Linked DNA regions of Drosophila melanogaster. The protein of the gene in region 1 purifies or fractionates together with the protein of each later gene. This does not show direct contact. Each region holds a gene or a part of one and is shown on either strand. Other genes may lie near its edges.

What was found.
Region 2: the proteins of Galphai (region 1) and mud purify together in Drosophila melanogaster (affinity purification with western blotting, with the first as the bait; one study listed by BioGRID). This does not show direct contact.

The regions. Positions count from the first base shown.
Region 1 is NT_037436.4:6,969,110-6,986,467, reverse strand, and holds Galphai (G protein alpha subunit i), read left to right. Parts: upstream 1-6,423; 5' UTR 6,424-6,829; coding exon 6,830-6,950; intron 6,951-7,245; exon of another isoform or gene 7,246-8,821; intron 8,822-8,988; exon of another isoform or gene 8,989-9,299; intron 9,300-9,461; exon of another isoform or gene 9,462-10,146; intron 10,147-11,994; coding exon 11,995-12,466; intron 12,467-12,535; coding exon 12,536-12,630; intron 12,631-12,689; coding exon 12,690-12,878; intron 12,879-12,934; coding exon 12,935-13,125; 3' UTR 13,126-13,718; downstream 13,719-17,358. Other genes in the region: CG32388 (uncharacterized protein), read left to right, coding at 1,966-2,125, 2,189-2,268; CG43439 (uncharacterized protein), read left to right, coding at 2,383-2,553; CG10063 (uncharacterized protein), read left to right, coding at 14,110-14,176, 14,239-14,810; CG9953 (uncharacterized protein), read right to left, coding at 14,915-15,042, 15,115-15,586, 15,649-15,787, 15,849-16,636. UniProt on the Drosophila melanogaster protein: Guanine nucleotide-binding proteins (G proteins) are involved as modulators or transducers in various transmembrane signaling systems.
Region 2 is NC_004354.4:14,241,481-14,256,174, forward strand, and holds the start of mud (mushroom body defect), read left to right. Parts: upstream 1-6,251; 5' UTR 6,252-6,639; coding exon 6,640-6,678; exon of another isoform or gene 6,679-6,744; coding exon 6,745-6,919; exon of another isoform or gene 6,920-7,055; coding exon 7,056-7,640; exon of another isoform or gene 7,641-7,710; coding exon 7,711-7,817; exon of another isoform or gene 7,818-7,894; coding exon 7,895-8,002; exon of another isoform or gene 8,003-8,164; coding exon 8,165-12,808; exon of another isoform or gene 12,809-13,532; coding exon of another isoform or gene 13,533-13,676; exon of another isoform or gene 13,677-13,978; coding exon 13,979-14,074; exon of another isoform or gene 14,075-14,131; coding exon 14,132-14,454; exon of another isoform or gene 14,455-14,520; coding exon 14,521-14,620; coding exon of another isoform or gene 14,621-14,694. Other genes in the region: mRNA-cap (mRNA-capping-enzyme), read right to left, coding at 1-833, 898-1,101; CG32599 (uncharacterized protein), read left to right, coding at 2,349-2,555, 3,768-3,819, 4,139-4,284, 4,350-4,898.

The DNA.
Region 1 (17,358 bases):
CGGAATGTTGTTAGTTTTGCCATACGAAAATGGAAAATTCCTTTACCAAATTACCAAATTCGGCTAATTGCATTTTCGGCTACCGCCTCCTGTTGTGACCAACGATTGCCACACTTTGGCACTTCAGTTGGCCATAAACACCTTGGCCGCTGTGGAAACCTGTGTGTGTGTGTGTGTGTGAATTCAAGATGGGGCGCCTTGCGCAAGATGGCCAAGAATCGCCCGCCTTCCAATCTCATCAGCGATGCCATTGCCAAACTATGCAAACTATGGACAGAGGCAGTAAAAGTTCAGAGACGCCTCCAACCCAACCCATCTCACATTTGGCGCTTTTGCGCCATTCAACTGTCGAAGCTGGCGCAATAAAATCGAACAATTTATAGACTGGCGATCCATTTGGTGCGCAATAATTGCGCCAAATGTACAAAAATTAAGACAAAGAGAGAGAGAGAGCGAGAGAGAGAGAGAGAGAGAGAAAGAATTACTGTGGAAAAGACCCACTTCGGTTGCCCGAAAAACCGATCGCATCCGATTCTACACTTGGACTGCTCTTGTTTGGCTTTTAGTTTAATGGCCGGTACTTAAAAACGCGTTGACTCACAGAACAGGAAGCTGAAATTGAATTGAATTTGAAATTGAGCATCTGATCGCAGCATCGATTTACTCGCTTTTCATCGAACCATCGATTCCGCAACGTTGGCAGTAATTAATCTTCCCGCTTAAGCACCCATTGCCAAAATGGCTGATCTACAGTCTTCGGACATCAGCTCGATTCTTCGGAGTTCCCCCAATCCCTCCAATCGATGATCTCGAACTGGGATTTTGTATCTTGTATCTGCGATCTGTGGCATCTGTTTCATTTCATTTGACGCCCATTGTCGTCAATGGTCCTCCGCTCTTCTGCAGTCTTCTCCGCTCTTCTCCGCCCACCAATTCTTCCGTGTCGTTTGCTTTGTTCTTCCAGGGCTTTTGTAGACGCGAATCGTTTTTTTTTACGAATCTCAGTCTTTGGCCTTCGAGGGCAGCGCACCTGTGGGGTTAAAAATATACGAATACACGGATGCGCGGGAAAATAAAGTTCACTTGCTCAACATTGAAATGTCATGGGGGGAATTGTGTTTTCCACCGCTTGACAGTCGAATGCCGAAACTATTTGCTTAAATGTTTTTCACGTGCCGAAGGTAAAATCAGCCTAATGATTTCTTGTGATCGGTATAGTGCAGTTGAAGGATTTTTTTTCACTTTCTCTACCCTTTGATGGATTTAACCATGCAGCAATGAATCAAAGTCAATTTTCTTGACAAGCCATCAGCAGCGGATCATTAGTAAACAGTTGAACAAGTTCAAAACCCCCAACTAAGATCATGTTCAAGTGGTTTTAGCGTTGGAAAATTCCCTTTTCTTTTCATTTTAATCAACGGCGACATCCTGACGCAGCAGTCGCCTAATTATCCGCACCATAAATCGTAGCAATTGAGGCGCTGACGACAAATATTTTGACGTGGCGCCGCCACGACGATTTCCCCGATTTTCCCCGCATTTCCAACTCCCTTTGCCCAAAAAAAAAAAGAAAAAAAATCCAGAGGTTCGTGGCAAATGTGTGGTCGGCACTTGAGTTCGATTTTGGAAGCGGTAGCCACGGGATACTGAAAACTCTCGGCTTGTAAATGCAACCGAAACCCAAAACAAAAAAAATGCAAGCCAAGCAATTGAGAGCCAAATCAGTCATGTTTCACATTACTAATCGATTTTTCCATACAATTCAGCAAAAAATTATGGCTTAAATATAGTTTTGACCAGTCAATTTTGGCAGGAGAGAAGAAAGTTTTTCAATGGAAAATCAGATATCCCTTGATTTCTGTGTTAAGCAGTAGCTTTGAAAACTCAGTTCAGCACACAGTTTGGACACTTATATTACCAAAATTTCTGTTAAAATTATTTGATAAAAAATTATTCAGTTCAATCATGTTCAAAGTGCGCAGCTTGGCGCTCATGAAATTGAGTGAAGGCGTTTTCGGCGCACGACTAATGGCCAAATCGCCGAAGGATTCGGGCAAGGATTCTTGCAAGGGTGCCGATTCCAAAAAGAAGAAAGACAAAAAGAAGAAGGATATGTGTGGCAGAAGTGGGTACGATATCACTAGAAAAGAATCCTGTTAATCTTTGAGTTTTATTTTTTTTTGCAAAGCTGTTGTTCCCACTTCACCACGTTGCAAAAACAAACCCGGCGGCTCAGACAAATCCAAAGATGAGTGCAAGAAAAAGTAGCAGAGTTCGAATAAATCATTTCAGCCCCTTAAACAAAATCACAGCAGGCCTTTAAACAAACTTCAAGCTGCTTTGGCCTAAGTCAAAATTAAAGTTACAAAAGAAAAAAAAACCATGTCCCGACTTTTGCTGCAGTGCCGCAGAACTTTGCTGATCCTTCGCCATCAAACGGCGGTGGAAAATGAGAAAGGACTCTTTGGCAAACTGCTGGGAAAGTGCCAGTCCTTTGGCAAGGATGAAAAGGATCTTGGCCAGCAGGAGGAGGAGGAATCAAAGAGATCTTAGTTAGGAAATTCAAATGGTTAGCTCTGTGTATACATTCAATTTTCGAAAATATAGATTTTCTTTCCAAACCCTTACAGTCTGCAGCTAAAGAAGCTACCCCGTTCCCATTGAAGATCATATAATGGGCAGCAAATTACCATATTGTTGCCGGAGATCCCAGATGAATCGGGTCCATTTTACGGGCAGCTCATAAAACGGATCGTGCACAGACATTATAAAGCCATAAAGCATCAACTAAAATCGGTCAAAAATAGCTTTGGAGGGGCACAGGCGATGGCCAGACTTAGACAAGTGATACAACATCCATTTCCCTGGTCGGTTTACGATGTCTGAAAATGCCAGGCATCGAAATTCGACGGCGAAGGGCAGAATGACCAGCAGCGAGATGTATCTAAATTTGAAGCGAACCAAATTGTTAGATAAAAGCAATTGTTTCTCACTGAATCATGGGAACTATCTTAAATTTGTTTGGGGGGAAAAACTGCACAATCTCAGCTGGCAGGTACTTAAAAGGTGCCACGTAGCAGTTGCAACCATAGTTGCAATCCACGAACTGCGATTTTCCAATCTCGCAGATACTCAGATGCATGACAAAGATGAGCCGCAATCCAGAAGCCCAACATCCGTGAGTGGGTGGATGTGGATATGGTTGGGATATGGCCCGATTTCTTGGTGCTTCTTTCCATTTTTATGGCAATTCAATTGCACCGCCAGTGACTTTTGTTTCCTGCCGCGAAGCGTTTCTTCCCCCCTCCCCTTTCTCCGCACTGCAGGTTGCAACCGTATGGCCATGTAAGATCTATATTTTCGGGTTTTCCTTTGCGGAATGTAAACAAAAGTGAGATATATATATATACCGACATAGTCACACTTGTCGGTTCAATAGTTGAAATACTATTTTCCCCAGCTCCATTCATTTATTTTTATATTTTTTGTTGCTTTGGGCTGCTTTTGAATTGATCGAATGAATCGGTGTAATATATGTTTTTTTTTTGGGCTAGTTATTAAAGTTATCGCAGTGTAAACAAATGCGATGCGGCTTATTTTAGTCGAAGAGATTATTCGCTCGGATTTTACGATTCTGCGGCCTCATTTCGCTGGCAAATCTTCGGAATTTATTGAATAATTGGGGTTACTCGCGGTCTGAGGTATCTTTCATGTTAGCTGTGCTAAGTAAATACATAGATGTTTTAAACATAAATCACTTTTATTAGTTAATTCTTTACAAGACAATCGATGGATCGGAACTTTTGGCGGAAAGAAACCGGACGAAAGATTTCCATGCTGATTAATATACATATATATTAGGCATTTTCCACAGCAACAAAACATGTTTCACTATATATTTAATTACCAATATATACATATATCCTCAATCAATGCAATGTAACTACCAATTTTGAACCCATTCCCCAACTCCATTCCACTTTTCCTGTCGATTAATTTTCCCCACTTGTCGGTTTTCCGACGTCGTTTTTGAAAAAGTGCCGAAAATCAATTGGATAATCCGACGATCGACGCCCAAAGGAATCCATCAGTGCTCTTTAAACTGCAGACTGCAACTTCACTTGGCGGCAGACTGCAGATTGAAGGGGCTGATTTTTGGTGGAAAATGAGCGCTTTTCCCGCCTGTCTGTTCCACCTTTCAACGGCCGGCGAGAGATTTCGTCCGAAACTACATTTTCCAGCCTGCCGAATTATCGGGGAAATTAATCTTTTCAATCTTGAGTTTGCCCAGGGCCACAACACAGCACACATGTGCCAAACTCAGCGCGCAGACACTGAGAGAAATAGGAACTACTTGCGTTAGGATCCTCAAAATGTTAAACTACATAAAATATATATAAAACTATTAATATTGGTTATTAAAGATTTAAGGATTTTCCAATTCGTGTAAATTATTTATTCATGGTTTTAAATCTATCTATTGTTATAAATTACTTGGAAATATTTGCATTTCTGAATCTACCAGCCACATACCAAATTTCATATCAATCACAACCGAATTCTCGCCAGAAATCAACTTGCTTGTATTGTACTATTTTCTCGCAGTGCATGGTATGTGTGGCCCGGCTAACGGTATATCTATTTCAAGGCCCATCCTTGTAATTGCTCCTCCATATCCATCTCTCTCTCTCTCTAGCCGCTGTTTTCCTGGCAGCTTGTTGTTTTTGGTTCTCCTTCCTTATTCATCTTCGTTTTCCCGATGGCGATTGAAGTTTTGGATGAAATGATGCCGACATTCGTCAAATTTGTTGGCATCAGCAAACAGTTTGGGATTCCGATTCCGATTCCGAATCCGACTGCAACAACAACAACAAGAGCAGCAATGTGGCAGCGTGCGCCGCATTTGCAGGCAGTAAGTGCGACAGAGATGGAATGAGAGCGACCACCCACAGTGCAGCATCACTGTATTTCTCTCTCGCTCGCACGCGCAGCGAAAACCGCATAAATCCATATTTCTCTAGCTTGTGCTTTTTACGATAAATTACAGAGGTTGCAGGGTGTTCGGTAGCGCACAAATGATCATTCATTCACAAGACAGCAGATACCCCCGCATGCCCCCTAATTCCTCACCGTCCCTCTCCCCGCCACTCCTACGCCCCTCTGCAAATGCCGCACTTTTCGTGTAAACATGTGTAAATCATGACCCGTTGATGGCCTTTATATTCATGGTAGAGCAAGAGGAGGGGTGGTGGATGTAGGGGGGTGGGGGTGTTTCTTGAGGAGGGGAGGGGGATGGTGGCCACATGTGACGTCCTCCGGCGGCGGCAAAACTTTTGCACTGCGACCCCATCCTCATCCTCATTCTCATTCTCATCTTTATCCGCATCCTCGTCTTCCTGCCTTCGCATCGCTTTGTTTAGATAAATTAGCTGCGGAAAGACCAGCCCCCCCCCCCCCCCCCCGTCACGTTCCATACCACAAAATTCACAAAATAGTTTCTTTTAATATCATCGATTTGGAAAAAAACAGAGGAGCTTCTATAAGTGGAATTATGCTAATGAAATTTTGAAATATTAATATTATTGCATTAATAAAGTTATTATTAATTATATGATCATTGCATATGCATGATTCTCTAAAAATAAGTTTAAAAAAAATGAAATTAAATATTACTAAAAATATAAGCTCAATAAAATATAAGCTCAGTTTAAATAAAAAGATTAACAGTGCAAACGAAAGTAATTTCTTTAGTTCTCATATGTTTTGTTATTTAAGAATTGACGTATTTATGTTATTTTTTAAAAAGTTCTGTTCTTCGAATTGACTTTAAATGATTCTAAATATTGTCAGTTTGTTAGAAAGGAGCTCCACTGTACCTGCGTCGCATGCAACTGCAGACATTTGGGATTCAAATCGAGAATGGAATGGAATTGTCCCAAAATAAAGGCAAATATTATTTATGCCAGGGCCCTGAGAACTTTTTCTCCAACGGCCTGCGTGCACATTGCATTGGTGTTGATGAGGGGGGAGTGGCGGGGCATGCATTTCAGAACAACATCATATTTTCGGCTATGTTTATTTACACTTAAAGCGCTATAACAACAAACTGAAATGCAAAGGGCAAGTTGGGCATAATGCATGTATGGCTCACGACTGAACAGCGGAAACAGGATCATATGAGTGGCATTCAAGCATAAAGTTTACAAAGTTGCGATAATTAAAATGCGTGTATATCAATTAAATTAATTTGAAATTTACCGCCCAAAAGTGACGTCACAGTTGCCTACAAGAAGATGCTAGCCAAGTCACACACCCCGCGAGTACTGCCAGACTGCAGCTAGCAGAGTACCACACCCGGCAGCGTTGCCACACAAACGATCGTGTGCAATGCACTAACGCCAGTGAGCAAGCGATCTGTGAACTTCGGCAAACAGTCACACCAATCCGACGCGAAGTGAATCATATTGCGCACAGCAAAATCAGCGGATAAGCAAATTAAAGCGACAAAAGAATATTAAATCGGCTCTGCCGCTGCAGCAAGAAGCGTGAAAACAGCAATGCAATCGGGCTAATCTCCAAAAAAAACCCAAAAACGTTTCAAGCCAGTGTGTGTGCGTGTGTTTGTGTGTGTGTGCTTGCGTGCGCTGCGCATGTGTGGTGTGTTTGTGTGAAAAGGAAGAGAGGTGGAAACGCACACAAAAAACGAAAAGAAAAAAAGTGTACAGCCGACGACGCGCAGACGCATCTCGAAATTGTTGGAAAAATCGCGTGTGAGAAGAGTGCGCGAAGTGAGAAAGGAGCAACAAATCGCTAAAGACATATTTCGAAGATGGGTTGTGCCGTGAGTACAGCACGCGATAAGGAGGCCATCGAGCGGTCGAAGAACATCGATCGCGCCCTGCGGGCGGAGGGCGAGCGGGCCGCCTCGGAGGTGAAACTGCTGCTGCTGGGTGCGTTCGCCTTCCATTTCACCTTTTCACCTCTCTAGCATTATTCCGGTATTTCCCCCCTTTGCGAATTCTTTGCTGAAATTCGCGTTGTGACCTCATTTTTTTTTCCATTCGCTCGCTTTGCTTGGGCGGGGTGGGTATCCGCTGGGTGCCGTTGCTTTGCGCTTTCGGCTGTGGTGAGTTGGGGCAAGGATTTTTGCCGGCTTTTCCAGTGCGAAAGGGTCTGGAAAAGGCTGGAAGGCATGGGATGAAACAATACAGTAGAGTTACAGTATAACGAATTAGTAAGACTAAAATTAGAAAAATGTAATTTATTTGTTTTTAAGATCACTCGTTATTATAAGACCATGTTATTCTAGCTAACAGTTTAACATAAAAGTCTAAAGTCCCCAACTATCCCATATTTCGACTATAAATATGCATGGAATGGAGTAAGTAGACTCCATGCAGCTCTGTTTATCTGGGAAAACCAATGTTTATGTGGCTGCTTGGGGCTAAACAAATCCGTCTGTTCGTAGATCGTGCATTATGCAATGTCTGTGTCCAATAATTCGTTGGCGATAAGGGAATTGAACGTAAATTGAAACCAAATGTCGGTTTGACTGTGCGGATACACTCGATTCTAGATTCTCGGTACTCAGTGCTCGTTTCTCATCTGCTGGCACGCACTTTTCAGATCTTTTGGATCGATGCAACAAGTGGATCGAATCGGATCCCATTGCCGCAATGGAAACATGTTTGTTGATAGCGCAGCGGTTTCCACTTTGCAGGAAAAACCATTCAAGCGACGAGGCGCCATCGTATCGCATATACAAACATACATGCATACATACATACATACATATATGATGTATGTATGGTTTTTGGTGACCCGACCTCTGCGGCAAATGCAGTGAAACTGAATGCCTCGCTGCGTTGCAACCTTCTGCAATTAAATTTCCACTCGCCGATTTATATGCACGGCATATGGGAACGATGATATATTTCACCGTCTGCGTGTGTACTTTTCATTTCATTGCCATTCATTTGCGAAAAACAATGCCGTGGAAGTTTTCCTCCAGCGCGGCTGATTGGCCAATGAATCGGGCCAAGATGACTAAGGCAACGAGTGGTAGGCTGGAAAGTACAGCAAAGACTGGCTATGCAACCTACACCTTTATTAAGTGAACTGATATATAGGGTTTACTGTACTAAATTAATTCATAATGTCAAATGTTATCATTTCAAAAGGATTTTTCTAAAAAAAAAAATGATGCACATTAGTAAATGATTTTTTTGGAACCTAGAACATAGTGTAGTTTTCATTTACACTGTAAAACATTTATCGAGCTTATCAGCAGCCACCGCACCTTGCACTATATTTGTTTGTGAGTAACCACTGTATTTGCAGGCTTAAAGATAATAAGGAAAACTGTTTGCCTCAATGAAAAACCTCGTAAACCGGTTTGGAAAATGCCCGCTAAAAGGTGCAGGAAAATTCTACCATTTTCATCCCCATTAAAAGATATCCCCTATTATCATTCAGTATCCCAGCTGTTTTCGTCCAAACCCCCGGTTGACCAGTGTAAATGCTTCTGGTTTACATAGCCAAGAAAACAGCTTGCACCAGTTGCATTTTGAAATTTAGCCCAACATTTTACACTTGATTCAATTGTTTGCACCTTGTGGGGCGTGTGTTCTGTAATTTCTGGATCATGATGAAAACCGATCTCTGATCTCCGATCTCCGAGCTGCTGCAGCTTTCCTCCGACTTCCAGCTGAGTAATTGGCTGTTTTTGTTGCTGCTTCGTTGTTTGTTCGCTGACATTTCAAGTGGGGTGAACGATATTAGCGCAAATAAATGGGCCCGCCATCAAATGCAACTGTCGCGGCTACACGGAAAGAAAAAGAAGAATGTACTAGTTTGCTAAAAAAAATATCTTTAAAAAATATAGTTTTCAAATTATGCAGTAAAGACATTGCTTATAATTTAGTATAAATATATATATTATTCATTGAATTTATTGGTAATTTCTACCAGTGTACAGCGACTACTTACTTGAATTGGAATCGGAATTGGCAGCCCCCAACGCTGCGCTTATTGAGTAGATTTAATAAAGCTGCTCAGCTGACACTCAATTTATATTACACTCTGCTGCCTCTCCCCTTTTCCTTACCCCCCCCCCTTTCCGCAAGCCTTTCAATTGAAAAGCACAACTTTTTCAACCGTTTTTCAACCAAACATATTGTGCTTAAGGGCAAAGATAGTGAATTACTGCATTATTTTGATGATATTTGCAAGGAAAGAGCAGCAAACCGAAGAGAGAAAACGAATTCCAATGGGGGGGGCATGAGTAAGAACTCGGATATCTGTAAAAAAAAAAAAAAAAAAAAAAATATGAAAAAAATGGGAAGAAAATAATATATAAACAAAATAGTGTCATGCTGCTGGCGCACCAATATCAAAATCGGCACTCAGACTGTCAACACACAGCAACTTAATAATCTACAATTATTTAAGAACTCGCTTACCAACACATTTAAACTGAAAGTATCATTGGGCTTATCAAAATTATCGCCAAGCGAGCGACCTTATACATATGTACGTCAATATACTATATGTGGTTAAATAATTGATGTACATATGTATGTACATCACATATAGGAAATTTCATGATAATCGAGAGATCTGCGTGAAAGTCACTACTAGGTGGGGGGCTTCCGTTTTGGGGCCGCATTTCATCTGATTTAATTGTTTACTTTTTCGGTGGGTCCGCTCAATTTCACACTCCCCGCTGATTAACACATTTCCCACTTCGATAACTGAGGCCAGGCGCCATTTAACTTGATTACTCATGGCGCAAACACTTTCTTACGATTCTCCTCCTCTTGCTGTCTACAGCTATTGTTCTTTCTTCTCCCCTCTTTTTTAAATCATCGCATGGCGTAGCCTTAGTCACCCTGTTTCCAATGAATATTCTAATTTCGATAAGTAATTATCTAACGAATTGGTTGGTGCAGTAAAAACTGCATGTCTTCCTTAAATTTCCTATCTAGCTAAATAGTGATTTTTTAATCATTTATGACAAATTGAACAAATATTTGAATGTTGTTTACAATTTCAAATTCTAATAAATATAATAAAAAGTTTTTTTAGCAACTTCTAACAACTATAAAATATATCAATAGAAGCTAGAATTCCTGCATTCCCCGCCGATTCTTTTTTCGCCGATATTCACTGTTTAATGATGTTAATTATAATACCGTTTGGTTGTGGCCATCGCGATGATAATGAGCTTGTAAACGCGGCTTTGTGCGTATCGCCGTTGTTCTGAGCCCGTCTCGCTCCAGCCCTATTGTTGGCCTCTCGCTCGCACCCGCAGTCGGCCGGGCGCGTGTTATGGCACAGCTAACGGTGCATTGATAAATGAAGGCCCAGCCACACCAACACACACGCACACACTCTTTCGCATTTTGTTAGTAGTGTTATTATTAAATTGACCTTTTTCCAGCCGCTCATTTGTGGATTGCTTTGTTCGCTACTTTTTTCCACACGGTGGCAAGTTTGAACATCGCCTTATGTCCATATTCGTATTCAAATCTGTCAATTTCATCATTATGCGGCGACCGTTGTTTGCCCATTATCAGCATTCAGCAGGCGTCTCTTTCGCTCCAACACTTTTTGGTGGCAAAATTAGTTAGCATTGTTCGGAATTGGTTAAAATTGAAGTCTTAACAATAACTCAAAAAAATTTATAAAACAAATTTAATGTAATATATATTGACAGTGAATGTAACAGTGGCCATTTAGTGTAATATATATTAACAGTAGGTGTAACAGTGGCCAGCACATTACAATTAGAGTGGACCCTATTCTAACACATTATGGTACCTAAAACTATAGGCTGAATTTCTTAATCTTCATAAATGTACGTAACATATGTATTAAACTTACCAATCTTCATTGAATGAGCACCATCCGCCCCAAGGGAACTTCAACCATGGCTGATTGATATACGTACGAATAGTAAAAACAATTAAAGTTTCAGTGCAAGTATCGAAGCCCTGAAAGTTGAGAAAAGTGAAAGTAAAGTCGCAGTTTTGGCTTTGGCAATTACCTAATCATCCGGTGGCTGGGAATGGACCCAACTACCAACTGCAGCAAAAAGTCGGCTTAATGCGCCATTGTTGCAATGCCCCAACATCGTGTATATATGTTTATATATAGCTATAGATATTCGAAATTACTTGGACCGGCAGATTTGCCAATTTTTGTATTTGCCCATTTGCTCTGCGATTTCAACTTCTTTAGTTTTCAGCGAAAAGGGAAACTGGCGAGCACGTAATGCGATTATGTTTCATATTTTTTTTTTTATCATTCGACGCAGCAGATAATATACATAGTACTACATATATAATAAACTGCCCAGACGAGCCCGTGTGTTTGTTGTTTATCAACGCTGACGGGTCAGGTCTCATTTAACAATTGAAGGCACTCGGCGAATAAAATTATGCCCAGTTAATTTTCTCCGCAATTTCCAACGCCTTTGATAACTAATGGGTGGGTGGTTCAACGAACTCCAGGGCTCGGCCATGCAAGTTAATAAATTATAATAAATTACAGAGTAGTACGCTTAGAAAATGCATATATCTATTTGGATTATCTTTAGCATGATGATGTGCATATAACTTGATCTGTTATCACAATATTATTGACCCTTATTTGGTGTTCATTTGATTCGTATTGAAATCCGACATGCTATATTAAATGACCATATACACGATGTTCATTCATTTCTCAACTAGACCAGCGCAATTAAGCGTGACCTCTTGAGTCGCGCAATTGAGCAACTTTTCTCGATCGTCTCATTCATAAATTCCACTTCCGTTCCCCTTGGCAAACTTAAAAGCCCCTTCCCGAAACCGAACTCATCGATTCATTCATTCAGTTTTACGCCCTGAACTTGGTGCATACAAATATTGAGCTCACACTTCCTTGGAATGATTCTTTATAAACTTTGATAGTACACCTTAACTAATAAACTCTGTTGAATTTCTTTTGTAGGAGCCGGAGAGTCGGGCAAGTCAACGATTGTGAAACAGATGAAGATCATCCATGACACGGGCTACTCGCAGGAGGAATGCGAGGAGTATCGTCGCGTCGTCTTCAGCAACACGGTGCAGAGTCTAATGGTGATCATCCGCGCAATGGGACGCCTGAAGATCGAGTTTGCCGATCCGAGCCGAACGGACATTGCCCGCCAGTTCTTCACACACGCCTCTGCCGCCGACGAGGGCATCCTGCTGCCCGAGATCGTGCTCCTGATGAAGAAACTCTGGGCAGACGGTGGCGTACAGCAGAGCTTCGCCCGATCGCGCGAATATCAGTTGAATGACTCGGCGGGATACTATCTAAATTCGCTGGATAGGATCGCGCAACCGAACTACATACCCACGCAGCAGGATGTGCTACGCACGCGGGTGAAGACCACTGGCATCATCGAGACACACTTCTCCTGCAAGCAGCTGCACTTCAAGTGAGTTGTCATTAATTGCCCACTTCCGGTTGATTCGATTCTAATGGTTATGTTTTTTTTTCGCCACAGACTTTTCGATGTGGGTGGCCAGCGATCGGAGCGCAAAAAGTGGATTCATTGCTTCGAGGGCGTTACGGCCATAATCTTCTGCGTCGCGCTATCAGGTAAGTCAAATATTCTACGAATCTTAGGAATCTAATGCAATTGTTATATATTTCGCTAGGTTACGATCTAGTATTGGCCGAGGACGAAGAGATGAATCGTATGATTGAGTCCCTGAAGCTGTTCGATTCCATCTGCAACTCCAAGTGGTTTGTGGAAACATCCATAATACTGTTCCTCAACAAGAAGGATCTGTTTGAGGAGAAGATCAAGAGATCTCCGCTGACGATATGCTTCCCAGAGTACACAGGTAAGATAAGAGTGTAGAAAACGATTACATTTTTGTTTAACTTGATATACTTTTAGGAACCAACACCTTCGAGGAGGCGGCCAACTACATTCGCATGAAGTTCGAAAACCTGAACAAGCGAAAAGACCAAAAGGAGATATACACGCATCTCACCTGCGCCACGGATACGAACAACGTGAAGTTCGTCTTCGATGCCGTCACCGATGTGATCATCAAGAACAATCTGAAACAAATTGGCTTATTCTGAGAGGGCGGCGGAGCACAAGATCATCATTATTTAGCTGGCGTCGTAGTATTAAAGGAAAACGCGCATAAACATTTCCATTAAACGCTAAGAACTCGATACATTTACGCTCGTACGATCCATATATGTTTTAAATGCGTTACATGCTTGACACACGTAATTTTAATAACCGATTTGGTTGCCAGTAGTCGCGGAACAAATAACCTAACCAGCTGCAATTTAGTTAACCGTGTCCATTAAATTGCACCCATAAGCTAACTAATTTAAACATTAGCCTAACCACACAAATGTAAAGTTCGACAAAGGACAGCCGGTGGGTTTTGTACATCCTAAAACCTCAACCCGATCGGCTCCCTTTGGAATTTAGTTAAGTTTCGCGGGCTAATGGCGGTGACCAAGGGGAGCACCACATCCAGAAATCCCCAGAGGTGTCTCCTTGGGCGCAAGCCATTTTCCGGACGTTTATTCTTTGCCAAGAGCTTGACAGCGTTATTTAAGGTGAACCTAAGGCCTGGAGTTGTAAGCCCTAAAATGTAACTAGTAAACTTACTAATATGTTTAGTAATAGCCTAAATAAAAGACAATTTATACAAAATAACCATTCGTACTTGAATGCTGCCAATGCTGCTTATTATTTCATGTGCGCTTACAGAGCTGACAACTTAGTAAAATAAATATTAGGATCCTTAAATTATGTTGATCATTGCTCAGTTAGTTTAGTGTATATTCCAATTTAGAGCTATAGCTTGTGCCTATTTTCATAAATATATTAGAAACAGTAATTTTGTTTTAGGTTTAGCTTTTTTGAACTTAGCGTTCTTTCCCAAAAAAAATGGGATTTTCTTCGGAAAGAGTTGCAACTCTGGCTGATGATTGTCAAGTTGGCCTTGCCGCATTCTGCTTTTTGTCAGGCATTTTGGATTAATTCGTTTGTTGAAATTGTCAATTGCTTCAGTGAAGAATTTTTAATCTGCTTAAACTTGGAAAATGATTCGCGCCATGGTAATGACCAAATGGAGTAAGTCGGTGGCGGGACCACTGGTCACAGCGTGGAGTAAGTGAAGCAGGCACGTGTTTTTTTCTTAGCAAACTTTAACGCCTTTTCCCACCATAAAGACTACTCCACATTGAATCGCCTCAATGGCAATACTGTGCGCCCGCGTGCTCTGTTCCTGAATCTCGACCGCAAGTTCTCCGCCGAAGGTGGCGGCGATGAGAAGCCCAAGAACGTGCCGCCTGGATTTGCGGCTCCAGGGTTTCCATCCACCTTGGGCAATAACCCAGAGAACACCACGCGTAAGGATGTGCCCATTGGCGAGGTGCAGGCGCCAACTATTTCCGTAGTGAACGCAGGCGGTAAACTGGGCAGAGCTGAGCCACTGGAGGCCAGCACCATCGTGCGCAGCAAGGGCACTTCGAACGAGGACAAGATGACCGAGGCGCAGAAGAAGGCATCGGAGGCCAAGGAGGCGGCCGCCAAGCAGTTGCAGGATGTCATGGCCAACTTGCCTAGCAAGGAGCAGACCGAAAAGTATTTCTTTCGCGTGGTTGCCTTCTTCTATGACTTGACCTACCTAACCGCCACCTGGTTGCTCAACTTTGTCGAGCACAATATCGTTCAAAATGCCAAGGTGCAGCACTACTGGAAGCGATTCCACGAAAAAATGGAGCAGGCCAAGAAGGATTAACTCCCAGCGGAGCCGAAAAATATATTATAAAACTCATGCGAAAGCAAAAAATAAAACAACTCGCTGACGAGTACAAAATTACACTTGACTTGGCCACTTTTCCATCAGATTAACGCCGAGGTGTAGCCATCCAGTAGTTTGGCCAAGAATTTGAGTATCTTGTTGCGAGCGGCCACCAGTTGTGGCGGATCGGTTTTCACCGGCTCATACATATTGGCGCAGTGAGCGGTTCCTAAAAAAAAAAACACAATAAATGCTTACATTACCCAAGTTATATGTGAAAAATGTGTTGGTAAGCACATACCTTCTATGTAAATGGTAGGAAGTGCTGCGTTCGTGGACTTGACCAAGCCCAAAGCATGCCAGGGATCAATGGAACCGTGCACGTACAACACATTTGTGGTCTTTGGCTTTAGGGCGCCATAGTTATCATTTGTGGCGGACACCACCAGTTTGAGGAACTTGGCGTTCATATTCTTGGAGAACACATCCATGCACTGGCGTATAAAGAAGTCGACACCGAAGCGATCACCAAATGTGTCAGCCGGGTTATCCGAGGTCTGATAGAAGCCGAATTCGTGGCAGGTCTGATATGTCCACTGGCGCATTCCCTTGGCCGTCTCCGAGTCCCAGGAAACGTTCTTCATGTCCGCCACCATCTTGTCGTACTTGTAGTCCAGGCAGGTGGTGTTCGATTCCTTCAATAGCATATCGTTGACCAGGCCCAAACGGGTCACAGGTGGACCAGCCGTGGTGTTTAGCATGACATCGCAGATCTATGGAGTTCAAACATTCTTAGTATGGACTTGATAGGGATCAAAGTGAGGATGAAACACACGTCGTCAATGGTGATGGTGGCATGGGGACTGTTGTCCTTGTTGTATTGCACCACTCCAGCAAAGTTGCCAGCCAGATTCTCAAAGAAATTGGCCATGTCCAGGTCGTTTTCAATGGAGTCCTTGATGGGAGTGCATGTTCTGAGTATAAAATGGTTTACAAAATTAAAATTTGTGCAGGACGATAGCCTAATCCACTCACTTGAACTTCTCGTCCAGGCTGCGTTGTCCAATCATGTGCTTGAGTAGAATCTCCACTTGCGCAAAGCTGCGGGTCACGGCGTCCACGCATTCGGGCTTGTAGGCAGCTAGAGAGGCTTTGACCACCTCGAAATACTCCTTGAAGTCAACCTCAGCCAGCAGAGGACCACTGGAGCTAATTGAACCGTAGATGAGCTCGGGATACTTCTCGCGTGCCCAGGCGGCCAGCGATCCCGGATAGGAGCCACCGAAAGCGATCCATTTCTGGCCATCGCCCAGATTGAACTTAACCTTCATGGCGGTTACAAAGCTGGCCAAGTCCTCCAGAGCCTGCTCCGAGCTGAGATAGTGCAGATTTTCGGTGGACAGATCAGCGGTGGGATGGCTCTTGCCATAGAAACGATGCTCCAACTGCAGACACAGCGCTCCAAAGTGCTCGGCATAGTGCACCCAGGCTCCTTCGCGCATCCACTTGGCCGACGCCTCGCCCTCGCCACCGATCATCAGGAATACGGGTGCGGAGCTGTCATTCCGATAGAAGTCGGCATTCACAAAGTATCGCTGCTGCCAGGTGCGCTTATCGCTCGACTTGAAGTGATCCAATCGCTGCTCGAACCACAGATCCTCCGAGTGCAGGCTCCTTTGCAGGGTTGGAATCTTGCTGGGCTCCCCGAGGAATCCCTTGGTCAGCCTTCCGCGTCGAAATCCCATTCCGGAAATGGGCGCAAGCAGTCCCAGGAGCAGAAGACCCACTCCCAAGGGCCTCAAAACGCCCCCAATGAAAAGCATATTTGCTTCCTTTGTTTGTTCGGGTCAAGTAGAATTTGCCAGTAATTGAAGTATTTAATTAGTTGGAACCTCGCACAGTGCCTAACTGTAAATAGCGACTGAAGGAGAGTGGTGTGTTCTATTTATATAGGCACCGTTATGTGTGTCGCACTCTCCTGATTATTCAGTTCTCGCTGTATTATCTATATTCGCAAAGCCGGCAAAGCAAAACTAAAACAGTAGGGGCATTCATAGTTATTGATTTCAATCATTAATTGAATTAATTTAATTTTAAGCAGAGAAAGATTTCTGTATGCTGTAAGTGTTCTGGTAACTTTACAAAACTTAATTTAGCTTTTTATTTATTTATATTATTTCCTAGCTAGATATTATCGATGAGCTTAATAGCACCGTAAATGTGAACGTGTTTTGCAAAATTTTTGTCAAGTAATTAAGAAAAGTATACATTCTTGCATGCTTTGATAATTTCCATCTGCGTGTAATTTTAAATTCTCACTGAACTAATTTAATGGAAGTTTCCTGAATTTCAAATGCTTTAGGTAGCTTTAATAAACAACATATAGTTTATTTGAATTATTCCATATATTAGGTAAATATTATTGTGGAGTTTCACTGTGCCGTTAATGCGAAAGCTTAATAAATGTATTTGTCAAAAATTTTAGGAAATTGTGCATGTGTATGCGTTGTTTTTATATTTTTCATCTGTATAGTCAGTTATAAGT
Region 2 (14,694 bases), on another chromosome or scaffold:
TATACCTCGTCCCTTCCATCGATGAGCATCATATAACGTGTACCGTCCGCCTTCCACGACACACGATACGGTATCTCGCTTAGCCGCTTTATGTTCTCCCTGTCCATGGAGACGGGCTGTGCGCCAGGGAAGCCGTTCTTCTTCCAGTCGCACCAGTCCTGCACCTTACGCTGCAGATCGCCCAGTCGCGGCTGATCGCTCACCTGTCGCACGCCCGGCACTCCCGCCATAAAGGTGGCATTCTTGATGATCATTTCGCGCCGTCGCTTCTTACGCGGCTGACCGTCCGACGTGGAGGCGTCACAGTCGCCGCCCGCATCCTCTCCCTCCACCTCCTCGGCGTCGTCATCCTGCTCGCCGGCCTGCTGTGACGTGGATGAGGAGTTGTCCTGCACAAAACCATCGCCGTTGCCATCATCATAGTCCAGGCACCAATTGGGCTGTTCTGGTGCCGCTGGAGCGGCATTCGTGTCCTCGTAGCGTTTGTACAGCTCGTTGATGTAATCCTGCTTGTAGATGCCCGGCGGCCGGGCGCTGGCAAAGATAGCGAGCGCTGCCGAAACGGAGCAATCGAGTCGCTCGACCAAATAGCAGACAATCAGGAAGCCAGTGCGATTGAAACCGTGCGTGCAGTGCACGGCTATAACGTCAAATGGACGTTCGTTAATAAAGTTGTCCACGATCTCGATGAAACTGTGCGTCTGCTCCGGCGATGGCGTCTCGCCATGTCCACGGCACTGCAGCTTAATATATTTCGCGCCGAGCTCCTCCACTGCGGATCGATCGTAGAATCGTTTCGTATTGGTCAGGTCAACCCAGAGGCCCAGTTTCACCTGAAACCATAAGATGGATTGGATAAGTGAGTTGGAAATTGGGGGATGTTGCGTTTGCATTCACCTTTAGCGTTTTGCAGTATTCGAAGAGCATCTCGGGTTGAAAGGTGCACTCGATGGGCATCTTGTCGTGAAAGTTATTGCTCAGCGGGGTCTTAAAGGCCAGGAAGCGTTCCGCAATGATGGTATCGCTCTTGCGCGGACAGTATAGCCAGCGATTGGGCAATGGACCAGAGCCCCGTTCCCGATCCCGATTAGTTAGGGCCATAGTGCCACAGTGGCTCCGCCTCTCCTGCTCCTCCTCCTCCTCCTGCTGCTGCTGCTGCTGCTGCTGCTGCTACTGCTGACGACGATGGAAACGGCGGGCGCAGCGATGGGACGACGCCGTTGCGTTTGTGTTAGGTGGTTTATTGCTGGTGCAGATTGTGGTGGATGCAGATGCAGCGAGAACTCGCGGGCCTGGGAATTCTGTGTAGGATTTGTCTAGAGATGTGGAATATATATGTAAAAATATCGATATCTTATTTGTTTCCCTTTTTATAAAAATAAATGATATATATATATATAAGATATCGCGTTTTTTGCTAAATATATTTTTCATATTTCTTATTGGTCACACTAATATGCAAGTGAATTCAAATAAGAAAGACGTTAATAATAAAACGGAAATAAAATGAGCACAGCCAGAAGTTATTATTCTGGAATAATCGACAACAGCGCGACCTGCAATGTTTGTAGCAAATCTAGTTAAATCTTTATATCTTTTATCATTTTAATGATTTTATTAAAAATGATATATCATCGAACTGTCCAGCCAAATTATCGATGCGTCCGTTACATCGATAGCATCGATTGTTTGAAAATATTGTTGGGGGAATTCGTCAAAAAGTTGTTCTCACGGGGAAATTACGAGAAAGTATTTACAAAAGTATTTAATAATATATATAATAAATTTTAGTGTAATTAAAATTAATTAAATAAAAAAATTAAAATTTTTTTAAATATACAGAACAGAATTAAAAAAACATGTTTTTCCCCTACCTTCTGCCGCTCATTTGTATCGATAATCGTTTTTCAAAATAGCTGCGAATCTTTTGCATAAAAATAAACAATTTAATTGCTGCATATTTCGGTCGATGTGTGCATACACACATACGCACATACCTATATATATATATATACGCATCAGTTTCGATATGAACTTGGGGCACACACAGCCAGCCGTACAATTATTTACTGCAATGTAAATAAACAACAAATAACAACAAATCGCCCGCAGAAATCGAACGAAGTCGCGAAAAAAAAGAGGAACGAGGAGGTTTGGGCTCGTAACCACACAATTTCGCCTCTCACTCGATTTTTGATCGCCGCCCGGACGCGATCTTCACTTCATACAAATTGTGAAATTTTTGCGAAAATTTGAATACACTCCGTTCCGAAACTCGATTGTTTTTTTGCGGTCCGTTCAAACCGAACTAGTACGTAAGCCACTTATTCCGTCGCAGAGCCACGCCCATGTCCGCGACCGCCTCAAATCGCCAGCCGGTGCCAAAATTTCCGGCCGCCATGCCGCGTGGAACGGGCACAGTGTGCTCCAATCCGGCGGTGCCCAAGTCGCCGGATGCCCTCACCTCCCTGGTGGCCCGGAAGAGCATTACGTCCATGTCGGAGGAGGAGATCATTCAGGAGAATCTCAACGAGATCCTCGACCTCAAGTCGCGCGTAAGTTTGAATTTGAGGCGGTGCTTTTGAAAAGTATCTTAAGAAGCGAAATGAAGATACAATATCTTAAATATGCCAAATTCGCAAGTTTAGAAACCTGAACTTAATAATTAACTTTTCAGTACTCAATTAAAAATCGAATGACTGTGATCTTTTTCATTCATCTACATATATTACTGAATCGCTTAAAACTAAACAAAACTTGAACAATAACCATATGGACATTCCATGAGTGCTCTCGTTTTTTTTTTTTTTTTTCACCGTGTTGTGATTCATTGGAAACACCTTGATTTACGTGCACGTCATTTACGAATGGATCACTGTGACTTTCAGATTTTCCTCAGCTTTTCCGAGATTTGCAGACGTCTCTCAAAGTTTGTACGACGCCATCGTTTGTGGCGCCATCATTATCGATGGGAATCACTGGAATAGAATGTGTGTCCGATCATAAAATCCGAAATGTTCGTTTAGTTTTCGCCTTAGATCTTTTTGCACATACAGTGGATGTTAAGAATGCATTTGCCATTTAATAGTTAACTGGAAAATGTACAGCAAGTGCAGAAAATGACACTGGAAGAAGCGTGTTTCCAAATTAATTGATTTGAGTTTGACATGCATACGCATTATTTTTTGAAAATTTCCAAACCTATTTAATACAAATTGTATAAAATCAGGCACGCATTTTGCGATCAACAAATAACGAAGCGAAATCAACAAAAGTCCCAGATATACACAAAAAAAAAAAAAATGCCCAAGCGTTTTTGTGTAAATCACGCCATTTTATGAAGTGTAAGATAATCAAATCGGTATTGAGTTTCCCTTTCGGAAACTTTTGTGCAATTAAAAACAAATTAATTGGCATCCAAGTTGATTTAAGCATTTTTGAAATCTTATTTTCAAAATCCAAGGCACTTAACTTTTTGTTATTTGCAAGAAACTATCACTTTTTTCTTTTTGTCCAGCATAGAAATGCACGTAGATTTCTTTGCTTTTACCTATTTGCACTTTTTTTTGCCGTGTATAAGCCTCTATATGCACGGAACGTGAAAATTGTAAACAATTGTTTTTATGGCATCACTCACAAAAACAAAAAGAGAGCCAACCCTGAAAAGCCCTGAAAAATTCTCAATCCAATTTTGCAACTTTGCAAATTGATTGGAATTGGTGACCCCGTTTCTCATATTCCCATATATCCATGTTGTCCTTTTGCAGGAGGAGCGAAAAGCCAATGGACGTCTGGTGGCTGTGATCGTCTGTTTTCTGGGTAAGTTTTTGGGATTTTTGTAATACTACAGTCAGGCCTGCCTAACACAAACCAGCCAAGTGAAAAATATTCACATACATAGGTATAAATTCATAAGTATCTCTTTAATAATGCTTACATGAAAAGATCTTTTAGATTTTTGAGAAAACCATTATTAAAATCATTTTCGAATTCTTAACTGGTAAACAAAACTAAAAACTAAACTAAATTAGAGCACGCAAATCGAATTGCCACCGACTTTCGCATGCTCATTTTGAATTGGTCGTTGTTAGCGAAGCACGACTGTAGCCACGAACTCAACTCAAATCCATTTCCACAGTGCTCTTCCTGGCCGTCTACCATGCCTGCGTCCGGAAGTCGGAGAACTCGCTGGCTGGCGTCCTGGTACCGGCGGGCATCATGCTCTCTTACGGCGCCTGGGTGGTCGTCCTGGCCAAGAGGGACAAGCACAGGCGTGCCATGTTTGTAGGACACACCAAATACGAGGAAAGCCAATGAATGATGCTCAGCGATGCTCTTTCATTTTCCAGGAGCGGCACATCGAGGAGGTGACGCTAAAGAACAAAATCGAGCTGGAGGAGAAGCATGCGCGCCACGCGAAGAAGGCGCAATCGCATCATGGTCACTCCGGCACCGATTCCACGGGCAGTGCCTCCAGTTCGCTGCACTACGTCAACGAGCTGCTGCCCAACGGTGGCGGTGAGCACCGCAAGAAGCAGCGACGCCATCGTCACAAGGAGCGCTCCGTGGAGCGAGATGATCATCATCAACGTAGCCATCAGCGCTCGCATACGCCGGACATTGGCGTGCATCGTGGAGCGCCCAAGAGGCCCAGTTTCCGGCAGAAGCTCTTCGGTCAGACCATCGCCCATGTCAAACTGGTGGAGGCGCAGAGCGATAGCACGGATTCAGCTGGCGCATCTGGTCCGGGTACGAGATCAGGTCGCAGTACGGTCGCCAGTCCAGGTGGCCAGGCCAGTGCTGCGGCCAAGCTCAATCCCGGCGAGAAACGACAGCGACTACAGCGCCTGGACACGTTGCCACTGGCGCAGGTGGTGCGTGTCAGCTCGATTCCGTGAGATATAACCATCTGGATGGATGTACATATGCATGTGGAAGTGGAGTAGTTCTTTCTTTTTTTTTTTTTTTTGGGGGGGGGGGGGCGGAGGCCCGACCTCGCCATTGTGTCGACTAAATAAATGTATTATAAAAAATATAAACAGGAAATTCGCCTTTATAAATAGACGGCAATCAAAAGGAAGGAAATGTTCCGATCTTCGTAACGAAATCAATGCTAAATACGTGAGAATTGTATTGTGCACATAGTTCAGCCCATCTGGCTTTTGAATATTTTCAAAATCGTGTGTTTACAACTTGATTTAAGTGAGTTGTAAAACTAATAGTTATGGAATAGTTTAGTTCGAGATTTTTTGGCGAGGTGTTTTCAAGTTGAAATTCAAGTATTGTAATTATTGATTTTCGATCAAGCTGATGGCTTTCTTTTTGTAACGCTTAATTTAGACAATAGTTTTTGAACCGCTTGTCGTTTTCGCACCACCATATTGTTTATTCTGCCTACTTCCTTACGTTAAAATGTTTGGTTTTTTCTCTGATTTTTTTTTTTTGCTTTACATGTACATCAGCGGTGCATTTCCATTGTTTGTCCGAATTAATGGTGGCGTTATTTTTAACGATCAGCACTATAACTAGATTTTCGGCTACCCTGTGCTCGTGTGCGTGCCCAGAAACGAGGATGGGTGGGTGGCAATTCCGGGCACATTGTTTTCGGTCATTGATTATTGTTATTACAATTTAATAGTTTACATGTGGTGGGCCACACTCGGTCGCTATTGGCCATCGGATTTTGGAATTCCCCGCCAAAATAGAAGCCACTTGGTTGCTTGTTTACTTGGCAGGAAATTCGCATTGTAGACCAGTGCCGCCATCTATGTGTGAGATTGGGGTAAACACAAAAGGCGGTTTCAATTATGGAATTTGCTTAGTTTTTCAGCATAGCGGGATTCAACTAGTTTTTCCATACTTGGAAAATTACATTAGATAATATATATTAATTACATATTAATATATTAATTGATAATTTCAATTGAAAATATCACTATATACTTTGGATACTTTGGTATTAAAGCAACAGGTTATTGCAGTTGGAGCCGTTCCACTAAGGCAGGAAAGCAGTTCGTAACAAAGTAGATTGAATTATTTATCAAATTTCATGTGAAACATTTGTTTCTTGAATTATGCAATATGCCATGGTGGAAACACAAGCCACTTCTTTCGCACAGATATCGATAGCAGAAACGCATCTAGTGGACGCGGCCTGGCTTGCAGCTGGAAAGTATCGATCGCCCGATAACAATACCCGAGCGCACCTCGCATGGCGTCGCGCTGCGGCATTTGAATTAAACGACGCGCCGCCGAAACGAGAAGTTGTTGCATTTTTTCGTATCTAGTTACCTATGTTTTCGTTTGTGGAACTGTCAAAATTGTTTGTTGCCCTGCGGACTTCAGTTTAGTCATTAAATTTTCATTGCTCGTTCGGAGCAGTTGTGCTTCTGGTTGGAAAATACAAAAAAAAAAACAAATATTCGGTTTTCGTGAGCATTTGTGCTAAATATATTTTTTGTTTAATTGCGTTTTCGATCGAAACCCGTTTGTTTCGCGTACATTGTTTTGTGTGCTGTGCCGTGTTCTGGAAAACATCCGTTACTGGATGCCAACAATGATAGTGTGATTAGTCTACGCAGACATTGAGCATACATATACGGGCGCACACACACCCATAAAAACGCACAAAAATTCGCAATGGACACGCGCAGCTGGCGCAAGGTCCTACTCCAGTGGGTATGTAAATCTCGCATTGCGCATCACGCACTGGGAATCATTTAGATTAACCCAATTCTGCGGCAGATTGGCGAGTGCCACTTCATCGAATCGAACTACATTACCTTGGAGCAGTCGGATCTGGACTCCTTCTTTTCGGTCTTCATTCAAAAGATCCAGGAGACGGAAAATGTTAAGGGGAAGAATGAGCTGCAGGATCAGCCCACAGAACAAAGCCCCCTTGTGCAGGAATTCCTAGCACGTAAGTTTTTTTTTACCTATTTTCCTAGTTTCTCATAGGGTATAGGGAAACATTAATAAATAGTGAAGCCTTAGTATGAGAATTTAGCGCACTTCCAACTTCATGAACCCACTAACTTGTAAATTTTCCCATGCAGATAACTATCCCGAGTTCATTGCACAACAGGATGACAAGGAAGTCGATCTGCCTTTGGATTGCCTTTACGTTTACACGCTCCTGTTGCATTACTCGTGCGTTAAGAAGCCCAGCTTGTTCTTTCACAACATCTGCAATAAACTGCCGGAGCTGACACAGACATGCATCGCATCCTTCTTTCGAGAGACCGTGGACAGGCTGTTGACGCGCGAATATCTTAGCCAGGCGATCGCCAACGTTGCAGTTGTTTACCGACAAGGGGTTTCGACCTCAGTCAGCCCATGTCTTCCCAGCAGCAGCCTGAGTCCCGATCCGAGGAGCGATGATGCACCATGCCCATCCACGCCCTCATCGTCATCGTCACAGCCGTCGAGCAGCACGCCACAGTTGCGCAATCATCGCGAACAACTTCGCCTGAATGGCTGCGAAATGCCACCTCCTTCGACCCCGAAAACGGAGCTACTGGAGCAACGCACCAAGGAGCTGCGCGGTATTCGTACCCAGCTGGAGGTGGTGCGCTACGAAAAGGCCTTGCTGGAGGAGCAGCAAATGGAGAAGGACGAGCTCATTAAAGTTCTCAACAAAGGTTAGAATGCTTCGAATGCATTACTTTCATAATTTTTTTACAAGTAATTTCATAATCGTTTGCATTTCAGAGAAAATGATGGCCAAGATGGAACTAGAAAAACTAAGAAACGTGAAGCTAACCGAAGAGCACCACGATAACGAGAGCCACCACATTATGCCATATGAGTTTGAGCATGTAGGTAGACTAGCGCAGATGGTCACAGGTAGCGAGCGGGAGCTATAAACTAATAAAACTTTTAATCCTCATTTCAGATGAAGGGATGCCTTTTAAAGGAAATCGGTCTAAAGGAGAGTCTCATCGCTGAGATTACCGATAAGCTGCATGATTTGCGTGTCGAAAATTCCGAGCTGTCCGAGAAGGTAAGCTACCTGTTCAATTTTATAGGGACTATACTATAAAGAAAATTCCACCGGGTCTTGTGCGAATGTTAGCGAAAAACTAGCAACTGTATAGATTATATTCGTTTACATTCAATTCATAATGAAATCTAATATATGTTATATCTTGCATTCATTAAATAGCTGAATCTGGCAGGAAAACGATTGCTGGAGTATACGGACCGCATTCGATTCCTTGAAAGTCGTGTAGACGACTTGACTCGTATCGTATCGTCCAGGGACGTTATGATCTCCTCTCTGGAGTCCGATAAACAGGAATTGGATAAGTGCCTTAAAGAAGCCCGCGACGACTTGCACAACCGAATCGAGGTCTTAAACGCATCCTCGGATTTACTCGACTGTTCGCTGTCGCCGAACACCACGCCCGAGAATTTGGCCAGTTCCGTGATTGACAAACAGTTGCGCGAGAAGGAGCATGAGAATGCCGAGCTAAAGGAGAAGCTGCTGAATCTGAACAATTCCCAGCGGGAGCTATGTCAGGCCCTTTCAAGTTTCCTTCAGAAGCACAATATCGATCACGAGTTTCCGGTAGAATGGACATCGTCGTCCCTGTTGTCCACCATTTCTGCGATCGAAAGTAAATTTGTTAACACGTTGGAGAAGAGTACGCAAATGAAGAAGGAATGCGACGTTCAGTCTGTGTGCGTCGAAAAACTACTGGAGAAATGCAAGCTGTTATCTGTATCGCTGGGATGCCAGCCAAAAGAGCTAGATGGATTCGAGGCCACAATACCGGAGGCAATGGAGTCGGGTTTCGAATCGAGCCGTGAGTGTGAAACCATTTTGAGTTGTTGTCATATGAAGGTAGTCGATATAGCATCGAAAAACAACGACCTGGAGTTAGACAACGAAAGGCTTAATGATAAATGCGCTGAGCTTAAATCAATAATTGATCGCGGGGATCAACATTTGGCCGATATCAATCTGCAGCTAATCGAGAAGGAAAAGCAGATAAAAGATGTGGGCGCTGAAATTCAGGAGCTGCGCAAAAGGAATATAAACCTTGAAAATATGCTCAGCCAAATTGCAGATAAAGAGGCCAGTGCGGCAAGCCATGCACAGCATTTGAAGCAGTGCGGTGAGCTTTTAAGAGCCAAGTATGAAGTGTGTCGAAATGAACTAATTGCTAAGAACGCGGCCCAAGATGAGTTGGTCCGGATGATGATGGTGCCAGATGGGGAGACCTTAAATGGGCGCGTACGCCAACTGATCGATCTGGAGATGATGCATGATGAACATAACAAGATGTATGCACAGATGCTGAAGCAATTAAATGAACTCAGCGCTAAACATGACAACATGACGCATTCCCATCTAGACTTTGTAAAGAGAACGGAGATCGAATTGGAAACGAAGAATGCACAGATCATGGCATTCGATGAGCATAACAATCATTTTGATCGTTTTCTGACCCGCATCTTTACACTCTTAAGAAGTAGAAATTGTCCGAAATCCACGACCATGGGCTCAGCGACCAACTTTCTGGAATCGATGCATATTGAAAAGCGGTTTGAGAATATTGAAATGTTAATTGAGGGGCAATTGCTTTCGGCTGATGATCTCAAGCGGGAGTTGGATGATCTTCGGTCGAAAAATGAGGAGCTCGCTAAGCAGAACATCAATGGAATAATAAAACGCAATAAATTCATCACTTCTCTAGAGGTCAACACCGAAAAAGTGAAGCAATACATAACAGATCTAGAGGAAGAAGCTTTCAAGAGAAAGCAAAAGGTAGTCCAGCTGGAAAATACTCTAAGCAAGGAGCAAAGCAATGCGAAAGAAATGGCACAGAGGTTAGACATAGCACAGCAGGAAATAAAGGACTACCATGTGGAAGCCATTAGGTTTATCAATACCATTAGGGATCGCCTTCAGCAAGATTTCAATGGCGTAAACACCCCACAGCAGCTGGGCACTTGTATGACCGAATTTTTAAAAATGTATGACCAGATGGAGGTGCGATACGAGGAGTCCTCGTCGTTGGTAGAAAAGCTCACGGAATCTCAAGCAAAATTGGAGATGCAAGTGGCTGAGCTACAGGTAGAGCTAGAAAATAAGGATACCAACCAGCATTCGGGTGCCTTGATAAAACAGCTAAACGACACCATCCAAAACCTAGAGAAGGTCAACGCAAAGTTAAGCGAGGACAACACTGTATCGCATACCGTGCATTCAAAGTTGAATGAGAGTTTGTTAAAAGCGCAAAAAGAGTTAGACCTTCGTGCGAAAATAATCGAAAATCTGGAGGCTTCGGAAAGGAACCTCTCCATGAAGTTGTGCGAGCTGAAAGATCTGAAAAACAAACTGAAGTCATCTGATGAAAAAATTGCCCAGATAAAGGAAACGTATGAAGAACAGATTAAAGCTCTTCAAGCTAAATGTGACATGGAGGCTAAGAAAAACGAGCACTTGGAGAGAAATCAAAATCAAAGCTTAACACAGCTCAAAGAGGACGCACTTGAAAATTGTGTACTTATGTCGACAAAACTAGAGGAACTGCAGGCAAAGCTGCAGGAAGGACAGCAGCTTGTAGATAGCCAGAAGCTGGAGCTGGACATGAACCGGAAAGAACTGGCTCTGGTTAAGTCTGCCTATGAGGCACAGACCAAGCTATCAGATGATTTGCAGCGTCAAAAGGAATCCGGCCAGCAGCTTGTAGATAACCTGAAAGTGGAGCTGGAGAAGGAGCGGAAAGAACTGGCTCATGTTAACTCTGCCATTGGGGCACAGACCAAGCTATCAGATGATTTGGAGTGTCAAAAGGAATCCGGCCAGCAGCTTGTAGATAACCTGAAAGTGGAGCTGGAGAAGGAACGGAAAGAACTGGCTCAGGTTAAGTCTGTCATTGAGGCACAGACCAAACTATCAGATGATTTGCAGCGTGAAAAGGAATCTGCCCAGCAGCTTGTAGATAACCTGAAAGTGGAGTTGGACAAGGAGCGGAAAGAACTGGCTCAGGTTAATTCGGCCTTTGAGGCACAGACCAAACTATCAGATGATTTGCAGCGTCAAAAGGAATCTGCCCAGCAGCTTGTAGATAACCTGAAAGTGGAGTTGGACAAGGAGCGGAAAGAACTGGCTCAGGTTAATTCGGCCTTTGAGGCACAGACCAAACTATCAGATGATTTGCAGCGTGAAAAGGAATCTGCCCAGCAGCTTGTAGATAACCTGAAAGTGGAGTTGGACAAGGAGCGGAAAGAACTGGCTCAGGTTAAGTCTGTCATTGAGGCACAGACCAAACTATCAGATGATTTGCAGCGTCAAAAGGAATCTGCCCAGCAGCTTGTAGATAACCTGAAAGTGGAGCTGGACAAGGAGCGGAAAGAACTGGCTAAGGTTAAGTCTGTCATTGAGGCACAGACCAAACTATCAGATGATTTGCAGCGTCAAAAGGAATCTGCCCAGCAGCTTGAGGCACAGACCAAACTATCAGATGATTTGCAGCGTCAAAAGGAATCTGCCCAGCAGCTTGTAGATAACCTGAAAGTGGAGTTGGACAAGGAGCGGAAAGAACTGGCTCAGGTTAAGTCTGTCATTGAGGCACAGACCAAACTATCAGATGATTTGCAGCGTCAAAAGGAATCTGCCCAGCAGCTTGTAGATAATCTGAAAATGGAGCTGGACAAGGAGCGGAAAGAACTGGCTCAGGTTAAGTCTGCCATTGGGGCACAGACCAAGCTATCAGATGATTTGGAGTGTCAAAAGGAATCCGTCCAGCAGCTTGTAGATAACCTGAAAGTGGAGCTGGAGAAGGAACGGAAAGAACTGGCTAAGGTTAATTCGGCCTTCGAGGCACAGACCAAACTATCAGATGACTTGAAGCTTCAAAAGGAAGATGCACAGCGAGAGGTTTTCCTGGTCAAGGAGCGATTGGTGAAGGAAAAGCGTGAGTTCGAGGTGAAATTGGCCACCCTTGAAGACATAATCGAAACATTGGAGATGCGCTGTACTCAGATGGAAGAGGAGCGTGCGACTGCTTACGAACAGATCAATAAGTTGGAGAACCGTTGCCAAGAAAAAGACAACGTCAAGTCAAGTCAATTGCAAGTGGAAACTTTTAAGGTCGAGTGCTTGCATCATCAGCTAAAATCCGAGATGGCTACCCACAACTCGTTGGTAGAAGATCTTAACCGAAAGCTGGCAGAGAAAGTCAGTAAGTTGGATTTCGTTCAGAGTCGCCTAATGACTGAAATCGCCGAGCATAACCAGGTCAAGGACCAACTAGCCCAGATCACCGATATACCTAAGGTAGTCGAACTGCAGCATCGCTTGGAAGCGGAGACTGCCGAGCGTGAAGAGGCCCAGAATAAACTGGCTGTGGTCACCGGACGTTTAGACGAAATTACCCGGGAGTTGGACAACGCTCGGCTCGAGCATGGCGCCCAGATACTAAGGATGGAGGAGACGGCTCGTGAAGTTGGGAATAAAAATGCCGAGTTGTGTGAACTCATCGAATTCTATAGGAATCGCGTGGAAGCTCTTGAACGGCTGCTTCTCGCTTCCAACCAAGAGTTGGAAGAACTAAATTCCATCCAGTCTAACCAGGCGGAGGGCGTAAGAGATCTTGGCGACACATATAGCGCGGCTGAAGGACGCCAAACGGAGTCGGATCAGGATAAGGAGAGATACCAAAAGCTAGCGCTAGACTGCAAGATATTGCAGGCCAAGTATCGCGATGCCAAGGATGAGATTAAGCGCTGCGAGAAGAAGATAAAGGACCAGCGTCTTGAGATGGAGGGAAAGCTGGAGAAGATGAAAAACAAGATGGTAAGTCGCTGCGAACTACTAGAACGAGATTCCAAAAACGGAAAACTACTGGTTTCCATTAAATGGCATGGTCGCGAGTTGTCACTGTTATCCTTAATCGCATGATTTGTGCCACCAAGTACAAATTGGTGTCTCCATTTTTTACTTGGCTGTCTGCGGAGGACAAAACCTAAAGATGTCATCCTATTTTAGCACCATGCCATTTTTTTTTTGCTTTTGCTTTTGCATGTTTATGTCATTGTTTCGTTTAACTACTAACTAGTTTTGAAATGGGACGTAGCTGATGTTATATGTTCAGTGTAAACTATTAAACTTAAGCTCCTCGAAATGACTCACAGTGCATTATCAGGTATTCAAACTATATGTATAGTGAATTTTCAATCTTATCCGTTTGAAAATGCGAAAATGCATACGTTTCAGAAGGAGGAGATGTTATACATAAGTTTAATTAAAATTTCATTTAGCAATTGCATCAATCACATCAATCACATTAGCCATAATCGTGCTGCATCATCAATTACTGAACCCAAGCAGATTCTAGTTAGATTTCCAAATTTGCTTTAGCGATTGCAGCTAACTAGATTTATTTAATTCACTTTTCCTTATCAATAAAACTAAAAATGCTTTATCTTTCCTTTCTATTTCCACCCAATATCTTTCCACGAAAATCACCCATTTAAAATCACAATTGCGGTCGGTCCGAAAACTGTATATATAACCCAAGAAGGGGTCACGCCGTCGGCGATGGCCGCAATTAATGCTGCTTTTTATTGGCCTAATTATTTTAATCGTTTTTTTTTTGTATTACATCCTGTACATAAGTGGCATCAATGTAATCTTTAAGTCGCGCAGTCCTATCGTGTATTAGGGCCACACATGACGTGGTAGACTTTGTTATAAGTTTTTTACATTTTGTGATATGTACTAAGTCATATTTGATAAATGAGCGATTTGTATTTCCAAGAATGTTTTTTTTGTTGTTTTTTTATTATTATTGTTTGTATTGTCGTCAATGTCCTCACTGCTGTTTCTCGCTCATTTTCGTCCTTTAAAAATGCGTGCCGCCCGAAATCCACACGCGCACCTTCACTTGACTATATACACTGCCCTAACTCGTCCACGTTCACCCACACGCACACGGACACTTGACACAACATCATCCATCTGTAGCGTTCCTTGTATACGGCGGAGGTGACGCGCATGAAGGAGAAGCAGGAACGGGATGCGGCCAAAAGCGCGTCGGAGCTGGAGGCACTCACCGCACAGGTAGATAGATATGCTCGCTGCTTGCGAAGTTACGTTATTAATTCCATTTACTTGCAGAATGCCAAATACGAAGAGCATACACGCAAGCTATCCAATCAGATTGTACGGTTGAACGAGAAGATTCTGGAGCAGCAGAAGCAGCATGCGATCATTAGCACCAATCTGCGTCACCTGCAGATGCAGCCCATCAGCGAAACGAAACCATCCAGCACAACGCTCACCGTTTCGTCCAGTTCGTCGGCGCCGAACGATGACTGGCAGCCCTTCAAGCGGCCCAATGTACCGTCCTCCAATCTGGCTATGGAAGATGAAGAGGGCGAGGTATTTAACAACACTTACCTGACGGATCTCAAATTGGGCCGTGTGCCGGCAGACATGACGTAAGCGCACTGGGTCTTCCCGATTTCTATGCTCAAAATTAATGTACCCTTTTTTTCTCCATGCAGAGCCGAGGAGCTGATTTATCGGAATTCGTTGCAACCGCCGCATTTGAAGAGCACTTATGCTGCCCAATATGATTTGGGCAGCCAGGACGAAGATCTCAAAGTAAGCGTTAGCAGTTCTCCGACATCCAGTGCCAGATACGCCGGCAGTAGTGGCAGCAGCAGCAGCAGCAGCAA